Arabidopsis thaliana: one gene and its partner. The protein of the gene in region 2 interacts with the protein of the main gene of each other region in a pairwise test. Each region holds a gene or a part of one and is shown on either strand. Other genes may lie near its edges. The genes, in order: AT2G30540 and BBX19.

Evidence for each region.
Region 1: the proteins of BBX19 (region 2) and AT2G30540 interact in a two-hybrid assay, tested with the Arabidopsis thaliana proteins (one large-scale study listed by BioGRID).

Annotation. Positions count from the first base shown.
Region 1 is NC_003071.7:13,003,300-13,018,935, forward strand, and holds AT2G30540 (Thioredoxin superfamily protein), read right to left. Parts: upstream 8,745-15,636; 5' UTR 8,269-8,744; coding exon 7,960-8,268; 3' UTR 7,806-7,959; downstream 1-7,805. Other genes in the region: RPT2 (Phototropic-responsive NPH3 family protein), read right to left, coding at 1-883, 1,480-1,857, 2,051-2,120, 2,204-2,274; AT2G30530 (zinc finger CCCH domain protein), read left to right, coding at 5,772-6,032, 6,179-6,361, 6,455-6,565, 6,774-6,920, 7,068-7,232, 7,320-7,568; AT2G30550 (alpha/beta-Hydrolases superfamily protein), read left to right, coding at 11,585-12,927, 13,460-13,706; AT2G30560 (glycine-rich protein), read left to right, coding at 14,048-14,270, 15,266-15,558. UniProt on the Arabidopsis thaliana protein: May only reduce GSH-thiol disulfides, but not protein disulfides.
Region 2 is NC_003075.7:18,151,184-18,168,092, reverse strand, and holds BBX19 (B-box type zinc finger family protein), read right to left. Parts: upstream 7,006-16,909; 5' UTR 6,518-7,005; coding exon 6,425-6,517; intron 6,219-6,424; coding exon 6,123-6,218; intron 6,038-6,122; coding exon 6,005-6,037; exon of another isoform or gene 5,925-6,004; intron 5,800-5,924; coding exon 5,703-5,799; intron 5,587-5,702; coding exon 5,471-5,586; intron 5,371-5,470; coding exon 5,209-5,370; coding exon of another isoform or gene 5,132-5,208; coding exon 5,048-5,131; 3' UTR 4,772-5,047; downstream 1-4,771. Other genes in the region: AT4G38980 (uncharacterized protein), read left to right, coding at 353-1,195; FBA2 (fructose-bisphosphate aldolase 2), read left to right, coding at 2,434-2,610, 2,873-3,142, 3,235-3,344, 3,445-3,535, 3,616-3,754, 3,832-3,962, 4,101-4,379; AT4G38950 (ATP binding microtubule motor family protein), read left to right, coding at 9,632-9,818, 10,044-10,133, 10,219-10,319, 10,412-10,525, 10,613-10,694, 10,840-10,907, 10,991-11,056, 11,181-11,305 and 5 more; AT4G38940 (Galactose oxidase/kelch repeat superfamily protein), read right to left, coding at 14,133-15,245; AT4G38930 (Ubiquitin fusion degradation UFD1 family protein), read right to left, coding at 16,477-16,572, 16,666-16,904.

The DNA of each region.
Region 1 (15,636 bases), on a different chromosome or scaffold from region 2:
ACTGATCGTAGTAAAGAGCGTGAAGAACAATGTTTACTGGTAATCTCTTGTTCTGTGAAGCGTGAAGACGTGCGTCGTAAGAAAGCTTTAAGGGATCCATTGAGCTACACACTTTTTCCCTTTCGATCTCGTCTAGATTCGGATGAGCTTTCAAGAAGATGTCTATAGCTCTGTAGAGATCGTCGTCTGATTTTCTAGCGGATTTCGGGACAAGATTCGCAATCGCGTTGAATTTGGAGATTGTTAGGTCTCCGTAAGTAGCGATCTCCGCTAAGTAAGAATCAACTGTTTTAGCTACTCTTTGTAGTGAAACAGAGCAGACTCCTCTGTTGAAGTCTCCACCGTTGAAAACACCAACGTTTTTCTCTTTTTCCACGAAAGCAGAGATGATTCTTCTGACACTATCGAGATCTAGTAACCGTTCGCCGTCGTAGGTGAAAGACGGGATCAAAAGATCGTCGACGGAGACGTGTTCTAGAACGACTGAGATTCGCTTCTCGAGCTCGTTCTTGCAGGTCAAGGAAGTGTCTAAGAAGACCGCGCAACGGAGGAGAGAACAGAGGAAATTGACTGGGAACAGCCCTTTGTCTGAAGGTAAAAGAGAGACGATAGATTGAACAAGATCTCTCTGTTGGGATCTTTCGTCGGATTCGTTATCTCCGGGATCGGAATATTTGACTCCTCTGCCTGAATGGTCTCTGACGAGATCTCTTAAGGATTTCTCTGTGTAGGTGATGATTGCAGAGGCTAAGGAAGAAGGTTTGACACCTCTCTGCTTCATTGAAGATACGACATCGGAGAAGAAGTCGACGTCTAAGATACAGAGTTCCTCTGTCCACCAATTTGGTGGTGTTCGACATGGAAACATTGCCTCGTTGCAAGCCTTTCAAATATCAAAAGAAATAGATATAAAAAACGTATCAGATACTGTAACCAAGCATTACAAAAATTCATGGATGTTAAAATATTAAACTCGTAATTCATTTTGCATTACATAGATATTATACTTGAGTCTCACGGAACTGGAATAGGGTAGAAGTATGATTTGCTCAATTTAAGATTCGGAAACCAAACCGAATTAAATATGAAATATTCCTATCGAATCTAAATCGCAATCATAGTCTGACAACAGTAATCATAGATCTAAACTTTAATATTAAAATAGATTTTTGTTTTTAATAATAAACACTAGAACAAAAGAAGTGAAGAACAATGGTCTCAAACTGATTTTTCTTAGGAAAATTGATAGATGAAATTTTAAAATCAATTTCAAACTATTACTGTATTTGAAACCTATGGAATAACTAAACCAGATATTCTTGCCATTTATTGAAAAACATACCTAAAACTGTACTAACTTACTAGATTGGGTTATTGCAGTTACTACTACATAGGTAGAAAAGAAAAACATAAACACTAGCCAAAATGGAGATCCAACACTTACAAAGAAGTGAGAATGAGTTCTGAGTAAAATAATACCTTAGCACCGACGACGTCGACACAACGGCGGACAATACCAAGATCACGAGAAATAGGAAGGAGAATCTCGCAAGACTTGAGGACAACGATAGCTCCAGAGAGGCTAGAGAGAGCTACTTGAGAAAGGAAGTCTTGTGTCCGACCAGCAAGGTTGTTGTCGCAGTACTTATCGGTCATCTGAAGAAACTCGGCTGCGCAATGAAGAGCCGCCACGTTCTGAACGGTGATCTCGAAGTTAACACCGTAACAGAACTTGGCAGCTTTCTCAAATATCTCAGGACCTCCGGGTATATCCGAGAGATTGATTCTTGTCACGTCGCTATCTTTGGATTCCATTATTAGCTTCCTTATGTAGTTACTCTTAGCCACTAACATGAACTATATATATACAATCATGAAAAATTATAGTTAAAATTTTGTGTAATTAAAAACATGTAAGCTAATGGTTTGTACTAATCTCGCCATCCTATTATTACTCTATTCAAGCCTAGTTCATGAGTATATGAAAAATAAATAATCCTTTTTTGTATTGAAAAATGTTGTGAACCAAGAATTAAGAGTTGTTGCTTACCTTATGAAGAGAGAAATTGGCTTCTCCGACTTCAACAACAACATCGGTCGGAATATCTTGAGAAAAAACCCTACAAAGTTACATATATACATGTTAAAATTTCTGATGATTCGCGCCGGGAGACTCTATTGGTGAAACTAGACTGATTCGTACCATTGACCGGTTCTTGCAAGACTTGAAGACATAGAGTTCATGTTGATGGGGTTTTTTCCTTCTGTTGCCATTTTTTTTGGTTCTCTATTGAAGGAGATGGAAGCATAATTGGAGAGTGTCTATATATTGAAATTTCTTTAGCATGGGTCCCCCCAATCCACCCAATTGCTAATGTAATAATATTTGTGATTGGCTTCTTCTATCTTATTTTTCTAAGTTTTTATTTGTCGTTTTCTGATGTGTTTATTATCTCTTTTAGTTAACTCACTCTAATCCTTGTGTTTGTCTTCGTCGTTTACTTTCCTTTTCACCATTTCCTTTTAACTTTTCCCTATTTGGATATGTACTTGTATCGACGGCTATTTTATGTAATTTAGACCTTCCACATATATACCGATATATGTTTCACCAACTTTTTGATAATAGACTAACAGAGATCTCGATCTTGGTGATTTGTAGATAACATTAATAAACATATCTCTGTAAGTAACATGCTTTACTACGCTTTTATTTAGTAAATGTATTTATTTATCATTAAAATTAAAATTAAAAGAAAAGTGAACGTTTACTAATTGATATTTGGCTAACTACATTCAAATTATCAACTATTATTTTAGTAAATGTTACAGTGATATTCAAGGTTAAAAGACTACAAAAAACATGCAGGATAACAATGATTATAGTAATATGACGAACATGAAAATCTTTCTTATCATAAAGCTGCTATGTGTAAGCAATCTCATCGTACAAGGACATAGAAGCCGGGACAAAGTGTGAGTGTGTGACAGACCAGAAGTACAGAACGGATCTAAATTCTTGATTTCATAACATGCATATGGTGATGATTAGAAAATTTTATAAAGTATAATGATTAGTGAGAACCAATCATCATTCATATATTTGGTTGTTGGCAACAATTTGTAGAGTGGCTCATTCAAAAAGAAAAAAACAATCTTACTTTTTGGTTTGGTTAATGAGAATATGATAGCAAAATTAAAGTTTCACATGCTAAAAGCCTAAAAATTCTGAATTAAAGGAAGACAATGCTATGAATATAGAAAAAAAAGCAACGCATGTGAATAATTGACAGATAAGAAACGAAATTAAAAGTGGATGTACGATTAGAGAGAAGTAGGACCATGGAAGTTAGGGAAGTAGGAACATGTCATAGATAAGGCCCACCCCAAATATGTGGTCGTGCTTCATCTTAGAACCTCGTGGTGTTTGGCTTAGCTACGTCGTCAAATCATCCATCAGAATCCAGTTTCAGTTTTGTCTTCCAATCATGTTTATACACGTGTTCCTATCGTCTTTAAAGATATCTCACGTCTCTTACATTGCCTAGTTGCCCTAATAATTTTCTGCCGGTGCGACTAGTTTTATAAGACTATTTGTAGTTTGAATGTGAAGATTCACAAAATGGGTCTTCATAAAAAGTTAAAAACCCTTACCAGTTTTCGTGATTTTTCTATTTTGATGTAAGTTTCTGTGAATCGATGTGATAATATGTCATGTGAGTCTTTTTTCTCCGGCTGACATAGTAACATGTGATTTGATAAGAAAATTATTTTAGTATCGTGATAAATTTTGTGAGGTGTTTAACTTTTTGTTTAAATCTTAATGCAAAAACTTCCAAACCCTAGATTTCTTTTTTGTAATTGGTTTTGCATCAAAACACAATATCCGAATGTAAAATATTGAATTAGCTAAACAGTAGATGTCCACTAGATCATGAGTAGGCGATATACATATAAATTTCATTAATTCAGAGAGAATAATAATTAAATTTTGTAAAAAGGTGCTAAGGCAAGGTCTTAATACAAGTCTAAATTATTCAGATGAAAAATTCATGTTAGGAAATAGGTTGGACCATAAGAGGATGGTGCTATCAATCTATTAACAAAAGTACAAATACCCTGAGCTGTATTGCCGTCTAGTTTCAATCAACAATTTCGATCATAATGGTTAATTACATCCAGAGGATTGACATATAGGATTGTGGTTTATTTTGGTTTGATTCGGTAAGTAGAACCAAAATGCTATTTTCTGATTAAGGATATGCAATTTCTACACACCTGAATTCAAAAAAGGCATTGGAGCTAATTCTAGTCAGATCATATCCATGATATACATTTAGTAAAATGCAAAAAAAACTCAAAATTTTTTACCTAATATATATAAGTAATTTTTTTTACTAAAAACTCATATTGCAAATAAATGTATATAGTTGCTCATAGGTTTTTTTTTATTTTGCGAGTTTATATTATTATGTAATTATGCGGTGTTACAATAATTAACAACGGTCCCGACCTCACAGCGGCTAAACCGAGGGGACAAAGGCTAAGAAAAGATGCAACTAGAAAACAAAATGAACCACAAATTAATACGAACAGTTTGGGCCAAAGTTGGTTATTATTTGTCAATAGCCCAAAAAGTCCACGTCAAGTTTCCCTAATCACGCTTCTTCCAATTCACACAATAATGTCGTCTTCTTAGGAAACGCCAGACGAGTTTAGCACATTTCGCTGTCATTTGTGCAAATCTCTTATCTGTTATATATGGTTGGGGAGGTTGCATGGATTCGGATAGAGGCAACGGTACGAAACCGTGACTAGAAGAAATATAGCTTGATGGAATTGACCAAGAAAAGAAACAATCAACACACGAGCTGAGATATTGCTTAGCTTGATCGAGAAACTTAACTTGTTATTGCAAAGCCCATTTGTTTCATAATTAAGAAGCCCAACCAATACATTGCACATAAACATATGTGTCGACTCTCAAGTCTAGCCGCATGTGACTTTATATGGTTATCACACTATACTCCATGTGAAGCTTGCAAAATTTATTTATAAATTCCAAAAGTGGGAGAGTTGTTTCAACTAAAAGAGCAATAAGAGGATTAAGATAAGATGAAGTTTCAAATAAGAGGATTAAGTTTTAACAATAGATTTTGACCCCAATTTTAGTACTAGATTCTTTTTGTTGTTGTTGTAGATTGTTACTAGATTCATTGTGGATAAAATCATGTTTTTTGTATTTGACAGCTAAACCATTAATTTGTATGCCAGACAACATGACCAAACCGTCTGGTCTACAAACCGAACCAAACCGCCAAGTCTACAAAATATCAAAACCAAACCTATCAATCAAACAGGAATATTCTTCCACCACCATAGGCCATAGCCCACATCCCCTACTAACTAGTGAGAATGTAGATCATAACAAAACCCAAATCTATCAAGCAAACCGGAATATTCCACCACCACATAGCCCACATCCCCTACTAGAATGTAGATCTTTATGAGGTCATGTTTGAATGGTATAATGAAATCTCATAGTAGGAGAAACCCGGTTTAACACATTTGTAGAAAACCAAGGATTCAATCAATAACCGGAATCTTGAGATAGCACCTGTCTAGCGTTGACGACACCAAAATTGAAAATTTGGCATCATTTGCGAAACAGAGAGAGATCCATTCAATTCCAAAAGGATTCTCTTTTGGGAAAACCCTAAATCGACCCACCAAATTTGGAGACTGTGATTGAGCATGAGCGTCAGAAGTTGATGAACAAAGTCGACGAAATCGAGGATTTCAGATTCGAGGATCTCGAAATGGAGACGGAGAAAGATAAGGAAAGGATGATGACGCCGACGACGAGAATGTCTTATTCATCTTCGTCGTCTCCGTCTCCATCTTCGGCTTCATCATCTGCTGCGTCCTCTCTCGCTGCCAAGGCAATTCGAGCATCTTCTGCGCATAGAGACTCTTCTCTTTCTTCTGCTTACTCGTCTCCTTCTTCTGCTCCTGTTCCCACTCCTCCCAAGGTTTCATCTTTTGTTCTTCTCTCTTTCTGGTGTCGCTTAATTGTTCATAATGATTCATGGGTTTACTCTGTTTTTGCTTCAATTGAAATGTTCCAAATGATTCATGGGTTTACTCTGTTTTTGCCTCAATTGAATCGTTTGAATAGGAGGTGAATAAGGCTTATGAGTATACTTCTATGAAGAGTTTGAATGAACCAAAACGAGGCTTTTGGGGAAGTTTAGCTAGTAAAGCTAAGGCTTTTTTGGATGAGGATGATCCTAATCAGTTGCCTCAAAGTCCTAAGAGAATGGAGCAGAGCATACCTTCTGCGACAACTTCAGGAACTAAGGTTAAAGACTAGGTTTTTATAGTTGCATTTGCTCTTCCAATTGTTTTGTGGGGTTGCGTTCTTATGGAGTAGAAATCCATTTCCATGTTTCAGGAAGCTGGTCAGACTGGTAGGAAAAGCGAGAATCCTTCATTACAGAGAAGATTAGATGCGATCACTTCATCGTTGAATTACATTGGTGGCACCATTGGTACTGTTGTTGAGGTTAGTTTCTTACTCTTTATGCACCCGTATATGGCACACTATAGGAGACATATATTAGTTTTGTTTTTTTCTTTAGGTTATGCGAGTTCTCACATTAGTTGTGTATACAGAGGCATATGCATTCTTGTGTGTATCGGTGCATCTTCTGCACTGTACTAAATGAGAGTTTGTTGGGTTGAGATTGTTGTTTGTCTGTGATTATTCTTAGGAGGGTATTACAGCTGTGGAGAATCGTACTGCAGGCATCATTCAAGAAACCCGTAAAAAGATTAAAAAAAAGCCAAGTCTTACAAGGAACCAGCAGAATCCTGAGATACAAGCTGATTTGGAGATTCAACTAAAGGCATCTCGCGACGTAAGGTGGCTGCTCTGTATCATTTATTGGTTCACAGCAGCAAATTTATATCTGCTTATTTCCGCTGCTGTTATCTCTTCAGTGAATGATTATAGAATAATCGTTTTTAGTATTGATACTGAGCCTCCTTTGAATTAATCTCAACAGGTTGCAATGGCCATGGCTGCCAAGGCAAAGCTTTTACTTCGGGAGCTGAAGATGGTAAAGTCTGATCTGGCTTTTGCGAAGCAACGATGCGCACAGCTGGAAGAAGAAAATAAGGTTCTGAGGGAGAACCGTAGTGGCGACAGTCAGACAGATGACGATGATCTGGTATTTTACTCTTTACAAAGCCATTAATGTTAACATTTCTTTATGTACATTTCTGATCTTTGGTTGTGTGTTTTCTCTCATCTATAGGTGCGACTTCAACTGGAAACACTGTTAGCTGAGAAAGCACGGTTGGCTCATGAAAACTCGATATACACCCGCGAAAACCTCTATCTGAGAGGAGTCGTCGAATATCACCAGCTAACAATGCAAGATGTGGTCTACTTTGATGAGAAGACTGAAGAAGTAACGGAGGTATATCCCATTAATGTGTCTTCAATGTCTTCTTCATCAGATAACTCTTACAATCCAAATCCAAGTTTCTTGGAGCTCAAATGAAACACCACAACAACTATCAGTTTCTGCTGTTCTTGTTGTGAATCAGACAAGAAGACAAATCGTTGCCTGTAATTGCTCTGTATTTGTAGAAATATATATACTCTGTACTCTTTATTTGGGGTGGGGTCTTAAGAATTAGCAGTGAATGTTATTTATTACCCTTAATTAACTTAAATAAAAGAAGAATGTTCTATTATTTCCCTGAAACAGTACCATGAAAGCTAAAAGTTGAACTGGTGAGTAGAAATTAGTCAATTATTATTGGATATTACCTGAAATTACAGAACAAACAATATATATATAAAGCTACATTACAAAGGTTGCATAGGCTATAAGATTTGTGTTTCTTATTGAAATACATTTTTGTAGTATAGAAAATTAGAACACCTTTTTAACATAGATTGGCTTGAAACGGCTTAACTAGCGGAACCAGCGAGCCGCTTAAGTGAAGCGACATGACTTCATTGGTCGAACCAATGAGCTTCCCACCCACAAAGATGGCTGGGACCGGCGTGGAACACCCTAACCTCATTAGGGCTTTCTCGATCTCACGACATTCAGGGTCTTTATCGATCTCATGGACTGTTGGGTGAACCCCAAGGTCTTGGAAAAGTACTTGGACCGCATAGGACATGCAACACGAGCTCTTGCTGAAAATAACCACTCCTTTCTCTGACGACATTCTCACAACTTTGTCCATGGTTTCTTGAAGGAGGTCTCGATCAATCTAGGGATTGTTTCTTGGAGAAGAAGAAACAAAATCTTCCTTCTCTTGTGGATTGAAAGAGATTTAGAACTGAAAACGCCTGAGATTAAACCTCGCTTTTGGGGTTCCTGTTTGAAGAAAAGAGGGTTTTGTGTGTGTGTGTGTGTGTGTGTGTGTGTGTACTACAGTATTAAGCTCAGTGTTGCCTGAGACTTGAGTTTCTTGAACCATATGCTATTTATAAGCAAAGAAAGAAAGAAGAAAAGAATGTTAGAGACCAAAAAAAGAGAGATCACAGGAGATCTAGCTAAAGGTTCCCCAAGTACATTAAAGTGACTTTGTTAATATTTTGTTTTCCTCTTTAATTCATATTATATTAGTAAGGAAGGACCAACAAAAGTTGCATAATCACAATTCACCTACCCTTTTTTCCTCCTAGATACCAAAGTGAGCATTTTGAGTTGAACAGGACAATATGTTTCTTTGTTGCAGATGCTAAAGAATATGGTACATCCGCACATGTTTTATATATGTATTTGCAACTTTTTTATGCATGATCGGATTAGAATCTTACAATTTATGTGGACCAAGCTTTTACTTTTTCTCTCGAAGAATATTATTTTGTTCAAGAATCATGCTCAGATGAAGGGTGTGGGTGTGAGATAGCCCAAAGTGGTGGGGAATAAGCAGAGAGATATGCTTATTCTTCTCTTGATTGACGGTATTTTTCGCAGCCACGAAAAAGAGATCAGGCTGGGTTTGATGGATTGGATCGTGTGTGTGTCAACAATTAAAAACCCTATTCTTGAAACATGTCACTATACAACAAGATATGATTGTCTTTGTGAGATTCTCTCAATCTCACTTCTGATCATGAAGGAATAATAACTCCTATCGGTTTCTTACTTTCTCTTGTGTGCCACTTCCCTTTCAACAATTTGCCAAGATTCTTTCCCATTTACCACTTGACTAAAGTAAACCAGTGATTATGAGATCCCATGTCAGTTGAAGTAAGCTTAGACCTAGAGTAATATGTATAGGACATGAATTAATTTACTAACGCCAATTGATTTTGTTTAAAGATTAAGGAACTTATTTGGTCCAAGTAAGATATGTTGTCCTTCATAGAATGAGAACAATTTGAGTTGGACCAAGACAATCATCACCTCGAAAGATAAGGATTAGAGTTAGAAATCCATGAAACTTAACATAGTTACAAACTCAGCATATATTTGGAATTGATCTTCTTGATTCTTATATTAATTATATATATGACCATCTGAATATCTATGTTAACCCCCTCTTCCATTACCACCAAAAAGTGCTTCCCGTAAGATCGGAGACTTGCCCTATATAGAAATATTTGTTTTGGTTTGGTAAAAAGCTTTCTAGGGATTATAATTAATGATTGAAAAAGGGTTAGTAGCTAAGTGAGGTTATATGGTCACTCACACGATGAAACCTTGAAGAAGTGGCCATAAAAGATAATGGCAGGCTGGCGATAATGGCTACTACAAACTCCCTTATAAGCCATGCATGATCATAGATTCATAGTTACTCTTTCTCTCCGATAAATTTATATATTTATGTTTCAAAAGCTAATAATCTTTTAAGCAGTTTTCAGAAGTGAGTTGTTTAGCTTTAAGAATATACAAGAATTTGAATATTTAGAGGGTTCATTTTCGGATATGGTCTAAAGAAATGGGCCGGGTATGCATTGTCTCGACGACTATGACCAAACTGAGAAGAAAATTGAACGTGCAACCTCCTAGCTAAGTGACATACCAATGACTTATAGAAATCTCATATATGTTTAATAAGTCATAACGCAAAAATTATTTCTAACAAAAGCAAATGGGTTGATTTTGGAACTATATTTAATGGCATAGAAAACTTCTTCGAATCAGAAAAGAATATAAAATACGTGTGAGTTAGGATGTCACCATAGAAAATCTCCACAAAAGCGTGAACTCGATTCTATATATATAACATTCAATCATTCTTACTAAAAACATCTATATATATATATTTTAAACAGTATGGATCCATTCATTCTGATCTGTACCAGATTGCAAAAATTAGTAAGATATCACAATTAAATAAATGAAATACAAATTGAGTTATTTTGGATTTTCAGATGAAACCACCAAACAAATACAAGTTGACTTGAATGTTCTCCAACGCTATTTTTTTCTCTATTATATTTTATAACTAATTAATTCATTAAATCACATGTCCAAATATTTAATGATGAAACATAAAGTAAGTAAGCTAGTGACGAGAGAAGGACACCTCATTCTCATTACATAATGTGACGAGATTGAGCTGTCGTTTTGTTGTAAATATATGGTCGGGGGTCAATTATTCATATGCAGTTTTAGGTCATTTATAAAGACCATTAAAAACGTCTTTAATATTTCAACAATCTTATAATTCAATTATTAAGAAGCATCTAGATATGGATTCACATTAGAGTTCGTATTCTTTGACAGCAAATTCACATTAGACTTTTGATATATATATTGTACATTTGTAATATAGTATACGAAAATATTACTTGAAAACTGATGTTATGTGTTGCCATGATGCCATTGGTCCATGACTTTTCCACACGAAGGCCAAAGCATACTCTTATATTATATGAGTTGAGTCATTCTTTTTTCCTTTTGACGGCAAGTTGAGTAATTCAATTCTCTTGTCACTTACCGGTGATATAAGAGTTAATCTTATAAATAGTTTTCTGAAACTTAATATACTATAACAATGTAAAAGTCGTCGCTTTGTTATTTGAAGTGAAAATTAAGCAATGTTATGATATTTTTACTAATTAACTCAATATGAAAAACAAAAATCCTCTTAACTAAAACAGAAACATAAAAGACGACTTAGTTTTTGCTTTAGATCTAGACTCATAACTCAAAAAACAATTTCATTATAAACTTTTGTAGATCTTACAATTTTAAAATAAAATGTACATTAATGTTGAAAAGCAAAATCTTAAATTAGTGTATACTACTACTTTTTTTTTATCACCGTGATAGATCATTAGATCCTTAACCTCAATCCCTAGAGCCTGCTTATTGCCTTTAAGCATTGTGCAATCACTACCAAACACACTCAAAACTAAATAAATATAATTTATAACTTATCAAATAAAATAAATACTATCAAGTGTGTATGAAATCGATGACAATTTATTTATTACCTTATTACCATTTGTGTCTTGAAGTACACGTTAAGCTATTTTTATGTGTTATAAAGGCTTCTTCGTCAACCAATTACGAAATCAAGCTTTTGAAGCTTCTCAACAATGGCGGCTATTCCTTCCCACAACAACCTTCTTACCATCAACCACAAAAACTCCATAACCGGTTCTTCTTCCCTAAATACCAATTTCTCAGAAATCAATTTTCCCGCCAAATTCCGAGTAGCTACGAGAGCTTTGTCCAGAACCGACGAGTCGTCTTTATCCGCCGTGATTTCTCGCCTCGAGCGAGAAAGGCGGGAAAGACAAGGTTTATTAATCGAGGAAGCGGAAGGAGCTGGAGAACTATGGATGACGGCGGAAGATATTCGCCGGCGAGATAAAAAAACCGAAGAAGAAAGAAGACTAAGAGACACGTGGCGTAAGATCCAAGGAGAAGACGATTGGGCCGGGTTAATGGATCCAATGGATCCAATTCTTAGATCGGAGCTAATCCGTTACGGCGAAATGGCTCAAGCTTGTTACGACGCTTTCGATTTCGATCCCGCTTCCAAATACTGCGGCACCTCCAGGTTCACGCGACTCGAGTTCTTCGATTCTCTCGGAATGATCGATTCCGGTTACGAGGTGGCGCGTTACCTCTACGCGACGTCGAACATCAATCTCCCGAACTTCTTCTCGAAATCGCGGTGGTCTAAAGTCTGGAGCAAAAACGCTAATTGGATGGGATACGTCGCCGTTTCAGACGACGAAACGTCTCGTAACCGACTCGGCCGCCGTGATATCGCGATTGCGTGGAGAGGAACCGTTACGAAACTTGAATGGATCGCGGATCTAAAGGATTATTTAAAACCGGTAACCGAAAACAAGATCCGATGCCCCGACCCGGCCGTTAAAGTCGAATCCGGATTCTTAGATCTCTACACTGACAAAGACACAACCTGCAAATTCGCGAGATTCTCAGCGCGTGAACAGATTTTAACGGAGGTGAAACGGTTAGTGGAAGAACACGGCGACGACGATGATTCCGATTTAAGCATCACCGTGACGGGACACAGTCTCGGCGGCGCGTTAGCGATATTAAGCGCGTACGATATAGCGGAGATGAGATTGAATCGGAGTAAGAAAGGGAAAGTGATTCCGGTGACGGTGTTGACATACGGAGGACCGAGAGTTGGGAACGTTAGGTTTAGGGAGAGGATGGAGGAATTGGGAGTGAAAGTGATGAGAGTAGTGAATGTTCACGACGTGGTTCCCAAGTCGCCGGGATTGTTTTTGAACGAGAGTAGACCTCACGCGCTGATGAAGATAGCGGAGGGGTTGCCGTGGTGTTATAGCCACGTGGGGGAGGAGCTGGCGTTGGATCATCAGAACTCGCCGTTTCTTAAACCTTCCGTTGATGTTTCTACTGCTCATAATCTTGAAGCTATGCTTCATTTACTTGACGGGTACGTTTCCTTTTTATTTTACTTTTCATTGTTTATATATTCATGTTCATAAAAAAAAATTGGTGTTGCCGTGATTGAAGATCACAAAAATTTATAACATTGGAAAATTTTGCATAGTTGGAAAAAAAAAAATATGATTAGCCAAAAACAATAGTATATACAACCATTTATACAAAAGGAATAGTATATACTTAATTACATATTTATTGGGATGATGGGAGAAAAAAAAAAAAACAGGACAGGGATGGTATAAGATGACCCAAATCAAAGTCTTATTGATATGTTATTTTTATGTGGAACTGGAAAACGACAAAATTTTGAAGCCGTGGGATAAATAGATTGGACTAGGTGTCCAAATGATTTCTTCGACCACATTAAAATATTCAAGAAGATCAAACTAGTGAGATCACGTCTAATTTGTTTTTGCGATATGATTGAACCGAATAACACGTGAAATTAATGTCGATTTAGTCATATGATGCAACTAATCAAACACTATTGACGTTGCTTTATATTTTTTTGAAATTTTTAGGTATCATGGAAAAGGAGAGAGATTTGTGCTGTCGAGTGGGAGAGACCATGCGCTAGTGAACAAAGCGTCGGACTTTTTGAAAGAGCATTTACAAATTCCACCGTTTTGGCGTCAAGACGCGAATAAAGGAATGGTTCGGAACAGTGAAGGTCGTTGGATTCAAGCCGAGCGTCTCCGTTTTGAGGATCATCATTCTCCTGATATCCACCACCATCTCTCTCAGCTCCGTCTTGATCATCCTTGTTAATCACACGCACATATATATAATATACACATTTTCCCTAATTTGTAAATGACGCATCCATCTTTTGAAAATAAAATGTCACAATCATCTCACTTGCATGCTTTGGTCAACGTACGTTCCCTATTAATAAAACTTATTACGTTTACGAGGCGATTGGGTTGGTTACTTGGGTTAATCAAATGCAACGACTAAATTAAGTATTTTCATTGGGAAAGATTGGTTTTGATCTTGCATTTGAAATTTTCACCTATTATATATACCCCATCCTTTTCACTTTCGTTTCTCATTCACACAAAATCTTAAAAATTTCTAAAGAGTGAAACTAAGAACTACTATTTCAAAGAATGGGAGGAAAAGGCGGTAGCGGTAGCGGTGGAGGAGGAAAAGGTGGTGGTGGTGGTGGCAGTGGAGGAGGAAGAGGCGGCGGCGGCGGTGGAGGAGCGAAAGGTGGTTGCGGTGGAGGAGGGAAAAGCGGTGGTGGTGGGGGCGGAGGTGGCTACATGGTAGCACCAGGGAGCAATAGATCTTCTTACATTTCAAGAGATAACTTTGAGAGTGATCCTAAAGGTTACTTTGATAATTTGCATGGTAGTGGACAGGGTAACAAGTGAAGTGAATTTGATCTGTAATGAATAGCTATGCCATGGAGATGGTTATTATTACCAAATCTAGTATCTAATGAATAAATAAAATGAGATTTTGCTATACCTCGTCTTACTCTCTTTTGAATATATGGTACTATAAAAGAGTTCCAATATGGGTCTATATCATGCAAGAAGTGTACAATTCAGTGATTTGAACATTAAGTTGGTACGACTTATTTAGTAGCAATTTGGTTCTCACTGGCATTTTTGGGCTCTCAAGTTAATCCATTTCATTTGTTTAGTTTTGATGAACATGTCATGATATTTAATAATCACATCATCTCATTGTCATGACAAGATAAAGATAATTGGGATACCACACTGGAATTAAATAGTATTAATCTTTACTTTCAAATTACAAGAAACTAGATTCGTACCACTACTGATTCGTGTTCACACATGATTACATGAGTCAATGTTTTGGCCACGGTGAGACATAGTCAATTCTAATTGGAGGTTAAGGTTTGGTTTATTGAAACGAACATGTCTTCCCGCTACTTCGACCTCATCAATGTTTATTTTGTTAAAGAGTTTTCATTAAATAGAAATACATAGTAGGAGGAAACAATACATAACAAAAAAAAGTTTCATGACTAAGTTAGTTTTTTCTGTAATTGTTTTTTTTTGTTCGGTTAGAAAGAACTCTGGCCACTCCAAATAAACAACTGCAGAACTTGATAAAGCTTCCCTAACATTCAACAACAATTAAATAAACGAAATTGCATAAAATAATATGACTAATTCGTGAAACGAGCAGGTCTTCCCGCCTCTTCGACCTTATTGACCTCATCAACCATCTACTTGAAAATTTACTCTATTATAAATATCCGTCCTCTCACCTCTCACTTTTAAACAAAACTTAAGTTTTCTTAAAGAGTCACTAAGAACTTCTAAGATTTCAAAGAATGGAAGGAAAAGGTGGTAGCGGTGGAGGAGGGAAAGGTGGTGGTGGAGGAGGAGGAATAAGCGGCGGTGGAGCAGGAGGGAAAAGTGGTTGTGGTGGAGGGAAAAGTGGTGGTGGTGGTGGAGGAGGGAAAAATGGTGGTGGTTGTGGAGGAGGAGGAGGAGGGAAAGGAGGGAAGAGTGGTGGCGGTAGTGGAGGAGGTGGCTACATGGTAGCGCCGGGGAGCAACGGATCTTCTACCATTTCAAGAGATAAGTTTGAGAGTGATACTAAAGGTTACTTTGATAATCTCCATGGTAAAAAGTGAGTTTGGTCTTTATTGATCATCTATGGAGAATGGAGTGAAGATGGTTTACTACCAAATATATTATGTAATGAATGAATA
Region 2 (16,909 bases):
GTTAATTGAATTGAAGTACCCAGTAATCCATTGGACTTAGTCATGGATTTAGGTGTGCTCAGAAGAATTTTCGTTTTCCTGCTTACGTATTTGACGTTTATACTCTTTGATTCGATTCGTTATATATGTTTATTCTGTGATTCTTGTGCATTCGAAGGTATTTCACTTTTGTTGTTGATGCTTCTAAATCCAATTCACATCCATGTAACCCTAGTTTTGTTATAATTAGTGATTGAAATTAGTGTATTTAGTATCAATCTGGTATTTTTATCCATCCCGGGATGTCTTGTATATGTTATCCCTGAGTTCTCTAACATCTATCATAACTTCAAATCTCTGCTTTGTTGTAGCCATGGCTGAACGAGAAGACGCAGCAGAGGTTTCTCTTTCAGTGAGAAACGAGGAAGATCTTTCTCCTGAATGTGTAGCTTGGGCTGATTCTTGCATCATCAGTTTTCTAGATGATTCAGACAACAATAATTGGGGAACTTTTAGAGATGCTTTAACAGAAATCATCGATATCCATCCCGAGATGTTTGTTTTTTCATCAACAACGGGAACAAGAGGTGTCCTGTCTCCAGACGAGGTTATGACTGAATCCGAGACTATTGATCTACGGAGATCTGAACCAGCAGCTGGTTCAGCGAACAGTAGAACTAATTCATCGAATGAAGAAGTTAGCGAGATTATCTCTATGCTAACTTTTGAATCAGACCCGTCAAAGAATTGCTTAGAAGATTATTATTTTCCAGAGTCTATAGCAGAGAATGGAAACCGTGAACCAGCGGACGGTTCTAAGACAGATCTTGGAGGTGTTGAAAGTATAGAAGAAGATGGGTCAGTGAGCAATGGAGAGGCTAAAGAAGAAAAACCAGCGTCAGTATCGTCTCAAGTATTCAAGGATGATTTCATGAGCACATACGTTGAAGACAATGCTGAGGATTGTAATGTTACAGAGGATCCTGTCAAAGTAACTTCACAAGAGATTTTCAAAGTGTGGGATCTAGAGGTTGTGGGGGACAATGATGAGGAAGATGGGTTGGTGCTGCAGCTGAAGAAGGCCCTCGATGAGTCTTCCACTGTCCAGCCCCTTCCACAGCCACTGAATGATGATCAAGTTGTATCAGAGAAGAGCAATATCGATGATCTGATATCTGGAATATCGGATCTGTCTCTTGCAGAAACTTTTAAGTGAACTATGTGTATGTGTTTTATTTTGACATCACAAACTCTCTTTTGCTTTACTACTCCTTAACCGACACAAACCGGGTTTGAGATTTCAAAATCTGCTACTAGACCAGACCGAAAGGTTTACTGGGTCAATTTGGTGCCTACACATCCACTTGGCCACCTGTTGTGCAATGATGACGATGAGATTGCAGTGTCTCTCGACTGATGATGTAGACTTCACAATCTCTTAAAAATCCCAGTACTTAACCTCAGCCTTAAGAAAACGCAGGGAACTACGTCCTCACAAAATCTTTCTCTTTGAGTGTAACTTTCAGACGCATCTTTGGCTCTAAATTCTAAAAAGGAAAATTTTAATAGGTTTTCATAATCATGGGTTCACTGGATTAGCATATAAGTCTATGGTTGAGAAACTTGAGACCCAGACTAACGAAACCTCTTTCCGGATCCAAAGGTCCTCTTGTGTAGTTGACGTGGTAAACTCTCTACCGTCAAATTTAGACATTAGCTAATCTGATCAATAATCTCGGCAGCTCTTAAAAATTAAAAATTAGAAATGATACGAACCTCATAATTTTTCTTTCTCTTATCAAAACACCATCTTTGTATCTTTATAAGCCTGTTGCCACTATTTTTAATTGAAAATGATGCGTTTGTCTTATGTTTTCTGTCCTGGAGTTCAACATTATGACAATATGTATAGTAAATTAGTGATATACAAGACGTTTGCAATTCAAGAAAAAAACTTATAAACTAATTAATATTATGGTCCACGGTGCTACATATTAACTCTTGATGGTTTTATACATCTTTTCTACATGCTAATATGCTTTTAATATTGTAGCCTAACGTTATAATTTGTTTTTTCTTAAAGAAACAGTATCTTGAACGAATCTTAACTATTTCTGTACTTATTCGATTTTATTCGATTTTTATCCGTGTAAAGGCAAACGATTATTATGTAACGACGGGCATAAAAAGAGTATCGATTTCCTATTCGGAGAAAAAAAAAAAGATAAAAATTGGAGTGTATGTATATTTCTTGAATTGAGAGTAATACAAGATTACGGTCCAGGTGGCGGAATATTATTGGCAAGGTCACAAGAACCTCAAATAACTGATCTGAAGAGAAATATAAATCCAAAAGAGGGAGGAGTGAGAGATAAGGGTGGTGTCATAAGCGTTTACTGTGAGTCTCTCAAAGAAACCAAAGGCAGAGAAAAGAGATAACACACACAAAAAAAAATGGCATCAACCTCACTCCTCAAGGCTTCTCCGGTGTTGGACAAATCCGAATGGGTCAAGGGACAAAGCGTTCTCTTCCGTCAGCCTTCTTCCGCTTCTGTCGTCCTCCGCAACCGTGCCACCTCCCTCACCGTCCGTGCCGCTTCCTCCTACGCCGATGAGCTTGTTAAGACAGCGGTTAGTTTCTTCACACATATCCTCTCTTCTCTACCACGTGTTTTATCTGCATGATTCGTAAAGTGCCTTTTGAATGGGAATGTCTAGATTCTGTTGTTCTGTTTTGCCCTGTTTCTACTTTTTTTTTTCAGAATCTATTTAAACCGAATTTACCCTTCAGATGTTTTGTTTCAGTTTTGAACTTTTGATCTAGATTTTGGTAATACTATATGATTGATTTATAATGCAATTCCATTTGATTCTCTTAATTTTGGTGGAGTAGAAAACTATTGCGTCTCCCGGACGTGGAATCTTGGCGATGGACGAGTCAAACGCGACTTGCGGGAAACGTTTGGATTCGATAGGGCTAGAGAACACTGAGGCAAATCGTCAAGCTTTCCGGACTTTGCTGGTCTCTGCACCGGGACTCGGACAGTACGTCTCCGGCGCAATTCTATTTGAGGAGACTCTGTACCAGTCTACCACCGAAGGCAAGAAAATGGTCGACGTCCTCGTCGAGCAGAACATTGTCCCTGGTATCAAAGTCGACAAGGTAACTAAACGCATAGACTGTAGAGTATATATACCAACATGCATGGTGCTTAATTTGAGGAATCTTAATGAGTTATGTGTATGGAATATTAGGGTTTGGTGCCACTTGTTGGATCCAACAATGAGTCATGGTGCCAAGGACTAGATGGTCTATCATCTCGAACTGCTGCTTACTATCAACAGGGTGCGCGTTTCGCCAAATGGTACAGACTAGTACTCTCGGTTCTCATTTCATTTCCTACTACCAAAAAATATGCCTAGGTTCGATTTCATAGTGATTTATTGTCTCTGATGGTTGATTAGGCGTACTGTCGTGAGCATTCCTAACGGTCCGTCTGCCCTCGCCGTCAAAGAAGCTGCTTGGGGTCTTGCTCGATACGCTGCCATTTCACAGGTAACAAACATAGCGTGTATCCCAAGAAACATGTCAAATCGGAGTGTATCAAGCTATTCACACACGACTTTATTTTCCAGGACAGCGGTTTGGTTCCGATTGTTGAGCCAGAGATCTTGTTGGATGGAGAACACGACATTGACAGAACATACGACGTAGCAGAGAAGGTTTGGGCTGAGGTTTTCTTTTACCTTGCTCAGAACAATGTCATGTTTGAAGGTATATTCGTTATAAAGTGCTTCTCTTAATACAACTTATAATGTCTGAAAAATCACTAAGGAAACTTTTACCCACAGGTATCCTCCTAAAACCGAGCATGGTGACTCCCGGAGCTGAGTCTAAAGACAGAGCTACTCCTGAACAAGTTGCCGCCTACACCCTCAAGCTCCTCCGCAACAGAGTCCCTCCCGCAGTCCCCGGAATCATGGCAAGTTTCTCTCATTCTCTTCACAATTAAAAGATTGTTCGATTCAATACAACGAAAAGGTGTTTTATGAGGCAAAGCCTAATATTGGTTGCTTGAGGTAGAAGTAACATTGTTTCTTGTTTTTTTTGTTATTTGCAGTTTTTGTCCGGAGGACAGTCGGAGGTGGAGGCAACACTCAACTTGAACGCAATGAACCAGGCACCAAACCCATGGCACGTGTCCTTCTCCTACGCACGTGCGTTGCAGAACACTTGTCTGAAAACATGGGGCGGCAGACCCGAGAACGTGAACGCAGCTCAGACCACTCTCTTGGCCCGTGCCAAGGCCAATTCGTTGGCTCAGCTCGGAAAATACACCGGTGAGGGTGAGTCCGAAGAGGCTAAGGAGGGCATGTTCGTCAAAGGGTACACCTATTGAAGAGATGATGCTGTGAAAAAAGAGATGAAGCAGATGTTTTAATCACATTTGTTTTTGAGTTTGCTTGTTATTAATCATGTCAAATCATTATTTTCTCTGCTTACTTTGCGTTAGCTACTCCTTTTAATAAGTTCTATTATATTGAAGTTATCTATCTCTCTTGATCTATTTAAACTTGAAACTACAACTATTCCATAATCAACCAATTTTAAATTTTGAACAAAGAGGATACAGGAGGAAATGGTCTCCACGAAGCTTACAATTCTCAAAGGACAACGCTTAGCCTCATGGGGCCTTTGCATATTAAGTGGGCTTAATCTTTTAATTGGCCCAATTTTTCGTCTTCTTTCTTTTTCGTCCATTTCCCAGAGGATTTTATTAAGAAAAAAAAACAGAAACAAATAAAATTATTTAGAATTTCAGAGATTAGCTTACATTCATGTGAGCACTTAAGCTAATTCCTTAAAACTAAGATAATGCACAAACAACATAAACCTTCCCTCTTCAACAACAAAGCTCGGTTACACCAGCAACGATCTAAGAATCAGAAGGAAGGAAAAAAAACGGACATGAAATCTCCAGTTCTTGAAACTTTTTACAATCTTCTTCTTAAACTGATTTTTTGAATCAGAGTAAAGAGTCTCTTTCTCTCTCTCTCTCTCACCTTATCACTTCTCAGACTCTCGTTTAAAGGGTCCAACTGGTACAAGGCCTGCAGGCTCGTGATTGTTCTCGTTATTTACATCAATCCCCTGCTCATTGAGAAACATTCGAATTGAGAATACAAAAACAAAGATTGAGAATATGTTGGATAGAGGGATTCATATACGTTGTTATTTGATGATGGCTCATGTACTCTTTGTGGATTAGCATTTAGATCAATCATTTCGTCATCAATCTTCCCATTGGCTTCACCATTTCCATTTGTAGAGACTCTTTGGTTCTGCAAATTGTCCCTCGTATTGTTTTCTTTAGGCTTATCCCCTGGAAACTACAAGAAACGATAAACACAAGATGACTATTAAAACTAAGAAATCGACTCAAAATGATTGTGTGTCTGCGTGAGAAAGAAACAATTAGTTAATTCAAACCTCGATTCTCTGTCTCAGCAAAAGAAACCGACCGTGTGTTCTCTTGCCACCAACATGTACTACCATGTCACATTGCAGACAAAGAGAACTACCGTCTATCTCACAGTAAAAGAAGGCTGTTCTCACAACAAAAAACATTGCAGACAAAAGATTTCTCTTCATTTTTCAATATATGTACATATGCGAAAACATTAAACACGAGTGTGGGAAGTTCATTGTAAAGAGATCATACCAGGTGCATTTTCGCATATATCACAGCATGGGGCATTGCTTGGTTCAGCTAAACCAACACGTACATGCCGACTAGCTAGCTTGTTGCACATATGAACCTGAAAGAAGAAAACATTACAAAGCTTTGAAGTAATCCATTTCCGATCAAAATCCGAAAACTACTAAGAGCTATTGCAGTAGAGAAGGATGAACCAATGACTCGAGAAGGACTATAAAGTGTTACCCTTAAGAGTCATCTAACTGAAGTAAGGATTAAGCGCAAAGAGCAGAAAATCGATTATTTTCTTCTCCAGAAGTTAATACTACTAAATGCAAACTCTGGAGACAAAACGTTCCCTGCAATGTACATGACAGAGTAGAATCATTGAAACCGCAGCAACAAACACTCATGTAATCAAACATGTAAATTCATCAACTGAACCATCTTAATCCACCAAATGAGAGAAGAGGTTTCAACTATTTGAACTCTTTTGACGGATTCACTACACTTCGAAATATCTAATCTCATGTGAAGAGCCTAAGAATCTAGAAACCAAATCTCAAAAATCTTATTTCTTTAGCTCAAAGTTATCGAAAAGCCAGATCAACTCAGGTCCAAATCAACTGAGAATTCCCAGACAGAGATAACAAAGACTTGATCTTTGACGAACCCATCAGAGCACAACCAATAGATAGAGAGGAGAGTTAAAGAAAAAAAGGAAGCTTTTTTGGGAGAGAAGTTACTTTTTCATCGCAGGGGCGACAAAGGGCAGCTTCATCGGCGGCGCAAAAGATGATTGCGGCTGCGTTCTCGCAAGCATCGCACAAAATCCGCATCTTGCTTTTTCAATCTTATAAGTCTTTTTCTCACTCTATTCGGAACAATGAATCTCACCTTCAAGACAAAATCTTTAGCCAGAACTCAGATTGCGATTGAAAGAGATGAGAAGTGGAAATAATAAGTAGAAACCTCTGATTAATTAAGGAGGAAGTAGATTAAGGGTTAGGATTACGCGTTGGTATCAAGGAACTAGAAGAAGAAGAAGAAAGGGAAGAAATTATTTAAGATTATAAAAATCGCTCCTTTAAAATCTTTTTCTACGATGGAGGAGAAGCTTGAGAGACCAGAAGAGACGACGACCAAATCCACGCGCCGAGAGTATCAAATAAGCATACTTTGCTGTGACAAGGCAAAATCTGTTAATTACTACTTTGAGTAAATTTCTCCAATCAATTACTTTTTTTCTTTAATTGTGTGTTTTGACTAACGAAAATTATGATTAAAGTAGTACCTAACAAGAAATGTGTGTAGTATGATTTAGGAGAAAATATTGGGAAGACCAAATCTTTTATAGTGGATATGGTTTTGAGTTATAAGATTGTTTAAAGTCCATTATATCAGAGACCATTATCAGACAAAAAGAAAAATGATATCGACTAAAAAGTGAAGACGAAAGACTCAATGCCATCTGGGAGGTCATTGATGTGTCTCCCTGAAACACATTCGTTGTCTTGTTTCCTTTGTTTTGGTGAAAAAGTTTTTTTTGTCACAATCTTTATATGATTTCTTGGATCCTATATCTGATTTTTTTTCTTCCTTTTTTTGACGGCAGCTGAAATAGTTTTAGGCAACATAATGTGCTAAGATTTAGGACGTGTGACTATTTTTAAAAGTAAAAATATAAACTAAAATAAATAAAAAAGGGGGAAAAAATAAGAGCCACAAAAGGAATTAAAAAAAAAGACAAAGAGGTGGGTGGGCCAAATGTCACCAGCCATTTAAAAAATTGGTGGTCGAGAAGTAGTTGAAAGCAACTCTCAAAACTCTACTAGTGGCCTTGGTTTAATGTTGTTTTTATTTCCTTGCCCATCTTCTCAATTTCATTTAACTAACATCTTCACAATTATCTTAGTTTTTTTTTCTTTTCATCCCAAAGTTTATTCTTTCTCTCCTCCATAAACATTCTTTTGTAGCTTGTTTTATGACACTTTGGCATTTGTAAAATTTGAAAGAAAAGTTTTGACGCACCCTATTCATAAACACGAGAATCAATATTTGCATAATTACAATGTTCTCTTCTGTTGAAAATATAGATTATGGTTTTTATAAAAAACAGAGCATCCAAAGAAGAGAGTTTGCCTGCCATGTGCATCATTGCTAAATGTTGGGCTTTACTTGTAATGTTGGGCTAGATATCCATTATATTTGTTATCAAAATATCATTATGACCTTCTGGGCCGGGAGAAAAGGTCTCTCACTAATGGGCTACGATGAAGTGGAGTGTGAGGTCCACGTGGCGGGTTTAAGGTTCCTAATTAAGTTTCAGGGGTAAACCGGTCATTAACTACCCAAGCCGAGAGAGAGAGAGTCTGAGAAACCGGCGAATAGAAGAAAAGAGAGAATCTTTGGGACCAAATCAATGGAGTGGTCCCTTCAGACAAAAGTTAAGAAGAAGAAGACGACGACGACTACGACGAAGAACAAACAACTACCAAACTTGTAGGCAGTAGCAGGAGGAAGTGGGTGGGATTAACATTGTCATTTCTCTCTCTTTTTCTTTTACAAATCTTTCCGTTTTGTTTTCTTTTGGTTTTCCGGTGAGCACTGTTGTGTTTCCAATTCCGGCACTCTTTAGGGTTCCCTTTCAGAAGAAAACTTCACATTGTTGTTTCTCTCAACCGTGACATCTTGGATTACTACTTCTGACTACTTTCCTTTTTCATGTGCCCCAAAAGATAATAGTTACTTTTTCAAAATCTGGTTTTGTTGTTTGGGTTTGTGTCATTCATTGATAAAGTCACTAATGGAGAAGTACAAAACAATTGCAAAATTTCGAATCTGTGTTGTCATTGCTGAATTCTGTAGTGGATGTTTGCTTGCAGTTTAGAGCTTCGGAGTGCGAAGAGTGAGACACAAGAGGATTCTTTCTGGAACCGCATTATTCCCTTTAGAGGAGGAAGAAGAAGACAACTCACTCACAAGGTAAAAACAGCTCCTTTGCATGTTTCTTTATCTTGCTTGTTAGAGATGTAGACAAGACACGCACTTTATAGACGCAAAATCTTAGTATTCTGGTTCAAGATTGAGATGCATTTTGTGATAATGATTAAATGTTCTGTTGGTGCAATTGATAAGGTTTCATTGAGTTTTGACTAAGTAAACTCCAAGTTACTTTTTTTAACCTTTAAACACGCATTTGTGACTGACCTTGTCTCCCTCTCCATTGATGAATTCAAAAACTACAAAGCTATTATTTTTATGTTTGATTTTGCGTGTACATATATTATAATCCAAGTTACTTTTCAAAGTTTAGAGTATGATAACTTATTTTTTTGTTCTCTACACTAGATGTATATGCATTTTATAAGGAGAAGCATGGTCTGTGGGACCATGCATTACCTCTCTTATTCGATTAAACAATGTTTAGATTTGGTAAAACGTGACTTAGTCCTCAAGCATAGTGGGTGACCATTACAGATAAAGTCGGTAATCTTTGTTTTGTTTTTCTTCTTCTTCTTCTTCTTCAGTTGTGGTTGATCACCTTCTAAGTAAACTGTCTTGTATAATCCTAATATTATAATGACAAGAAGTCTTCTCTTATTTGTGTCTTTGTGGTTCATATAAAATGTTCAAGTGTTCTCTTTCATCACAACACAGAAGCTTTTCCTTCTCCAGGCATGTTTCATGTTTTAGTCTCTTAGTTTTAGTTTGGTGAGATCAGATTTCTGAGTTTTTCCATTTATTTATGGTTGTGATTAGTTGGAAAATAAGGGTCCTTCCTGCTTTTGAAGTTCTTTCACAAGTCCTGAATATATTTTCTGCAGTAAATATGCTAAGACTCCAATCTTAGAGGTCTTAAGTTTGAACTGTTTCAGGAAAACAAAGGTTCCTCTGGTTACTCTGAAATATTCAAACCAATGGTGAGCAATTGGTAGCACTTGCTAAAGAAGATGGAGAAGACACAGATGCCTGTAGCCCGAGAAGAGAAGATACTGGTTCTCGTGAGATTGAGGCCTCTAAACCAGAAAGAGATTGCCGCTAATGAAGCTGCGGATTGGGAATGTATCAATGATACCACCATATTGTACAGAAACACATTGCGCGAAGGCTCGAACTTTCCTTCTGCATATTCATTTGGTAAGAAGAGCAATAGTGCTCTAACGGTTAAACCTCTTCTATACATTAGATCCACACTCTCTTACTTGAACTTCAAACTAATAGTTAACCTCTTTTATGAACTTAACTCTATCTGGCTTTGACCTTTGCTTTTCTAAATTTCTACTTTCTTTTTGAAACGATCTCACCATTCATCCGTATGCTGACTCAGATTCCCATTTTATGTTTGATTTTTTTTGGTGACAGATAAAGTCTACCGAGGTGAATGTCCCACCAGACAAGTTTACGAGGATGGAACCAAGGAAATCGCTCTGTCTGTTGTCAAAGGAATCAATTGTAAGCTTGATTTCCCGTTGTTTTGCTGATGCACACATTGATGAAACTATATGCTTAGTTCTTCTATGACTGTAACGATGGACAGGTAGTATTTTCGCATATGGCCAGACGAGTAGTGGAAAGACATACACCATGACTGGTATTACTGAGTTTGCTGTGGCTGATATATTTGACTATATATTTCAGGTACAGGCCTCGTTGCATAAGTAATTTTTTTCCAAAGTTAATGCTGGTATTTATTCTTCTTATGCACTACTAATTGGATCTGGATGCTGCAGCATGAAGAAAGGGCGTTTTCCGTGAAGTTTTCAGCTATAGAGATCTACAATGAGGCCATACGAGATCTGCTTAGCTCGGATGGTACATCACTGAGGCTACGAGACGATCCTGAGGTAAATGAATATCATTTTCCTTACTGAGTGTTTTTTAGTTTGTAAAATTGTCTGACTCTCCTTAGTTCTATCGTTTTTTCTTATTAGAAAGGGACAGTTGTTGAAAAAGCCACAGAGGAAACTCTGCGAGACTGGAACCATCTGAAGGAACTTCTATCTATTTGTGAAGGTAAAACTCAAAAGTCAAAATCACTTTCCATTACTATGAAGTAGCCAATGAAAGTAGTGTTGTTGTGTACATGATCTGAAACTCTGTATTTTCTCCAGAACATGTTTTCTGAAAAGTAAACTTACATGCTTCTACATTTTCGCAGCACAGCGTAAGATAGGTGAAACCTCATTGAATGAGAGAAGTTCCAGATCTCATCAAATGATCAGACTGGTTAGATTCTTATCTATCAGTTTATTTATGATACAAATTCTCTCTCACTTAGCTTGGCCCTTGATTGTCTCGTTACTTATTAGACAGTTGAAAGCTCTGCTCGTGAGTTCTTAGGCAAAGAAAACTCCACCACCCTCATGGCGAGTGTGGTATGCTCTCATCTGCAAAGCTAAAACAACCCTTCTTTATGTTATATCTTGAGAGTTTTTTTTTTTTTTTAAAAAAAAAAAACAAAAACAATATGTCTTCATGTTGATCACCCTTTATGTGCAGAATTTCATCGATCTAGCAGGAAGCGAGCGTGCTTCACAAGCTATGTCAGCTGGTACAAGACTCAAGGAAGGCTGCCATATCAATAGAAGTTTGCTGACTCTTGGAACAGTGATCCGTAAACTTAGGTGTGTAAACAATACATCCTTTAAAGATTGCTGTCTTTGGCATGCTTAGTAGTTCAACTTTAATAATAGAACCACGCCTTTCTACACTTGACCTAGTAAGGGAAGACAAGGGCACATCAACTTTAGAGACTCGAAGCTCACACGAATTCTACAGCCATGCTTGGGGGGTAATGCAAGAACAGCTATCATCTGCACTCTGAGCCCAGCAAGGAGTCATGTAGAGCTAACGAAGAACACTCTCTTGTTTGCGTGTTGTGCAAAGGAAGTCACCACAAAGGCGCGGATCAATGTTGTTATGTCAGACAAGGCTCTGCTAAAGCAACTACAGCGTGAGCTTGCGAGGCTCGAGACTGAGCTGAGAAACCCTGCCTCCTCACCTGCCTCAAACTGTGATTGTGCAATGACGGTGAGGAAGAAAGATCTTCAGATACAAAAGGTTTGTGCTTTGTGAACACGCCCAAATTGCTTCCATATGACATTGGCTGGTTTTGTAACTGTGTGGCGGGTTAATGCTGATGAAGAGTTAATGTTATACAGATGGAAAAGGAGATCGCAGAGTTGAGAAAACAGAGGGATCTTGCTCAATCCCGGCTTGAAGATTTCATGAGAATGATTGAACACAATGTGGCGTCAAAGGTATTGCTGGTTCTTCCCACAATCTCACTTTGTGCAGCAGATAATTGAATTGTTCATCACGTTTTCCCAATTATCACGGTTCTGCCTTAGATTTCTATGGCAATTTTACTAAAAGGTTTGCTTCTGTTTTTCCTCAATGGAAGCCTGGAACTCCACATTTCGGCAACCACACAGACAAGTGGGAGGATGGTTCAGTATCGGAGACATCAGGCGTGGTCGATTCAGACAGAAGGAGTTTTATATCAGATGGAATGTCTACACCGCTGTCAATATCAAGAGCTTATGTTCATTCTCACTCTGACGATGATGATCTGGATGAAGACTTGCCTAGGCGTTCGGAAGATCTATCAGAAGAATATTGCAGAGAAGTTCAATGCATTGAGACTGAGGAATCAGTCACAGTCTATAATAACAAGAAAGACAAGAGAGCAGAACCTGAAAACGTTTTAGGCTGTGGTGAGGATGCTAATGGTGAAACGAGTGTAAGCCAGAACGTCAGGGTGAGAAGTTGGAACCGCAGAGAGACTGTGTCAGGCCCGAGCACTCCGCCTGAAAACATAGGGACAGGTTTCCTCGGAAGACCAGAGAGTCACAAGATTGCGTTTCCTGATTTAGAGTTCGGTTCTACTGTATCGAGGAATGATTCTATGTCTTCTTGCGGGAGCGATTCCACAGGGACTCAGAGCATCAGAACGCCGTTGGGAGAAGAGGGTGGTATTACTAGTATCCGGACTTTCGTTGAAGGGCTTAAAGAGATGGCTAAGCGTCAAGGCGAGGTAAGTTCATAAACATATATACTAATCGATTCTTCTATGTAGCTTACAATTGATTTTCAAGGTTTGTTTGATCAGGTCTCAAATGCTGAGGATTCTGGTAAAATGAGGAGGGACATTGGTCTGGACTCCATGGACAGAGAATTTGAGAGACAGCGGCAAGAGATTCTGGAGCTATGGCAAACTTGTAACATCTCTTTGGTGCATAGAACATACTTTTACTTGCTCTTCAAAGGAGATGAGGCGGATTCAATCTACATCGGAGTAGAGCTAAGAAGACTTTTGTTTATGAAAGATAGCTTCTCTCAGGGAAACCAAGCATTGGAAGGAGGAGAAACCTTAACATTGGCCTCAAGGTTAGATCTTTTTGGCGTGTGTATATAGCGTTTGGCATTAGTGGTTGCAGTTTTTTTTAATGCCTACTATTTTTTTTTTTGTGGTGAAGCCGGAAAGAGCTTCACAGGGAGAGAAAGATGCTGAGCAAGCTTGTGGGGAAAAGGTTTTCAGGAGAAGAGAGGAAAAGAATCTACCACAAGTTTGGGATTGCGATTAACTCCAAACGCAGGCGGTTACAACTTGTGAATGAGCTCTGGAGCAATCCCAAGGACATGACTCAGGTTATGGAAAGCGCAGATGTTGTAGCGAAGCTTGTGAGGTTCGCTGAGCAAGGCAGAGCCATGAAGGAGATGTTTGGTCTGACCTTCACACCTCCTTCGTTCTTGACAACTCGGAGATCGCATAGTTGGAGAAAAAGCATGCCTGCACTTTTCTAACTTCTGTTTGGTCCAATGACATTTTACTTTTGGGTTTCTTGTAGCAGAAGCCATGTCTTGTATATCTTCTTGGTGTCATTTCATTTCCTCTGTCTTTTGATTTTTCAAAACAGACAATGTTGTAATTGAATTTTTCTTTTCCATCAAATTCTTTTCTTTTTACCCGTAAAAATTGTTATTAATGTTATGAAAACTCATAATATTTTGACCCAAAAAAAAGAGGAAAACTCATTATGTGTACATGTGTTATTGAAGAAAACAACGATAGTTGGTCTCACAGTAAAGAAATATAAATCTTTGAGCAATCACCAAAATATTCCTTACAGTACAAAAATATATGCATTTGTTATTCTTCCTAGATTATACATGAAGTGTAGTTGTTTACTCCAACCTGCTATGCTGGATACGATTCTGTCAATTTGAGACTCTTATCTATCTCTAAGTTTTGAATCACAAGAGAAGACAGAAGCAGCAGCAGGAGAGGGACTCTATTAACAAATGTAAGTAAGATTTCCCCCACCAAACACAACAACAGTATACCATACAAACATACGCTAATAAAAAGAAGATTCCAGGGAAGAACATTCATAAGCTAGTAAAACACACAAGAACAAGCAGGGGACACAAGTCTATTACAACACAAGATCAGAGCACAACAGCTACACAATCCATTATGTGAAAATTCCCACTAAGCACAACATTACACCACTCCACTTTACCCCAAATCTCTCCACCCTCGCGTCTTTCCACTGCGATTTCCGCACACCAAATCTCTGTTTTCTCTGTTTTCTGCAAGAACAGAACCAATTTCCCACCGGTGTAACTCACAGTTTTGGACCACTTACAAGCCACAGGCAACAATCCTTCAAAACCTTTAACGACTCCCCAAGCTCTCTGCTTTGGATCATAAGCTCTCAAACAATTCTCACGAACATCATAGTAATACAAGACATCATCTATCACACACGCACTCCACCACTCCTTAGAATGCAAAACCTCATCTCTATCGCAACTTGTATCATTCGGATCGCAAACAAAGCTATTGTGATAAGTCCTCATGTAAATCTTACCTCCTATAACCACACTGCTAAACCATTTTTTCCCTGCCTCCCAATCTGGCCTCGCCCGAAGTTGCCACATTTCGGTATCTGTATCATACACCATCATAATTCTTGACGGAGATTTCATCGGCGAGAGCGTATCTGATCCTCCGATTACATAAATCTTCCGATCAATGAGCTCTGTGACGGGAAAAGCAACGGCCTTGGGCATGTTAGGGAGAGTCTGAGCAGTGTGAGTTCGACAATCGATGAGCGAAACACTCGATGTGATCTTCCAATTGCAAAATCCACCCATCACAAAGATGTTCGAACCAATGCCAACATAGCTTCCATGCATAGGCATAGGAGGGAGAGTGGGGATATGTACCAGGCGATGATCAGAGGCGGTGGTGCCGGAGAATTGTTGTCCGTTAGGTTTCCGGCACAGAGTAAACCAATGGATATCAGAGGTTTGATCTTTGGAGATTGCGATGTAGAGACATTGTTCTGTGCATCCGAAGAAGGATCGTCTCTTGTAAATCTCCGGAGAAGCGACGAGTGATCGGAAACGCCTTGAAACTTGGGAGAGAGTAGGGTAATAGCATCTAGGGACACGGGCTACGATATCGACGACGATTTCTTCGGGGAGTAACGAAATCAGACATGGCGGCTCCGGCGGTTGCTTCTTCGGTGCCCTAATTATAATTGGGGAAGACATTTCAAGATCAATCGGCGAGAGAGAAGAAACAAAACCCTAATTCTGTAACCGTTTTCAAGGAAATGAACAATTATATACACGAAGATCCGATTTTGACTTTTGGTATTTATTAAAAGAGAAATCAGAAACTCCTGAGATCCTTCTTCCGTTTCAGAAAAGAGAGGCGGTTGTAAATTTTCAAGAATTTCTTTTAACCAATCAAAGACGACGGCTCGGTTCGGTTCGGTTCGGTACCGGCTTCTCTTCATTAAGTAAACATCGCACCGTTTTCAAAATTTGGCACAGACAACAAACAACATGCATTCTTAAACATAAATGGCTAAATATTAGTTTCTCTCTCTTCTCTATCATGTATCTTTGAGAGAGAGAAACTTTCTACTTTGTTTATAGTTTCTAATCTAAATCAGATCTACAAATAAATTTTCGTTTTAACGGATAAAGCTTCCGGCGTTGTCCGGTTTATCTTTCCGATTAGATCGGATTTTTTGTTTGTGTTTTAGTTTTTCTTTTTCCACATGTTTACAAGATCAATTCGGTTTGCTTTCTTCTTCAGAAGAATTCTGCTTTCACCAAACTCATCTTTTCCTTTATAAGGGAGTAATATCTTCACCGTCCATTGAAGGGACCTACAAGATAGGTATTAGGTGAAGCTTTCCTTTGAAGACTAGATTGAGAGATCTCTGAATTTATTTCAAGGTGGTGGCATGGAATCTTCAGCTGATGGAATCCGGCGAATTATGTGGAAGAAGCTCTTGGTGTTGATTTGATTAAGCCCGACCGACGGAGCAGAGGTGGATCGTGGATCAGCCGGCAACGTCAGTTTCAACATCTCTTCATCTCACGTTGGACACGTGTTGGCAACGTGGCACTTTTTTTGTCTTAGCCTTATCTTTAGAATTGGGTGGGTTAAGCTGTGCTTTAAATTTTAATCAAAGTTGTAAATGGTGAGGGATTGGGCCTTTCATCAGCATCTGTAACACCCTTTATTGGGTTTTAATATCCAATATGAAATTTGGCCGACAAAAAAAAAAAAAAAAAAAAAACATAAATGGCTAAATAAATCCCACTCTAAAATTAATGATGATGAATCACATACATCATCTTCTTCTTTTTTTCTTGAATTTATTTGTGTTTTTTTTCTTCCTTTAAACGTTTAATTCCATAGATAATACATAAGCACAAGAGTAAAATCATAAATAAGACGAGAGATTGGTTCCACACATTGGTTGGTTCAACCCCTCAATGAATATTTTTTACCACTAAAAGCTTGGAACTTGGCTTCCTTCTCAGCCTCTTCCTCTTGCTTTCTATCTTTCCCAGCTCCAACCTAAGTTACAGATAGATCAACATTATATTTCTACTCCATCTCTTATCTCTGATACCATTTTTTGCACATACTACTTTTAAACAAGTTATTTACCTTTGTTGTCTCTTTAGTAGACCGCTCTACATTTGAACCGAACACAAGTTTCCCTCGATTTTGTTGCGTAGCCTTCTCTGACCCACTACTACTACTACTTGCAACAGGATGTGATTGGCCGTTACTGTTAGCAGCACCAGGTTGCGGTTCATAGGATAAAGGTCGTCCATCCAAACGTCTTCCCGAACCCGTGAAAGGGTTAAACTTTGGTTCTGCTTCAGCCACATCAACCTCCTTAGCTGTA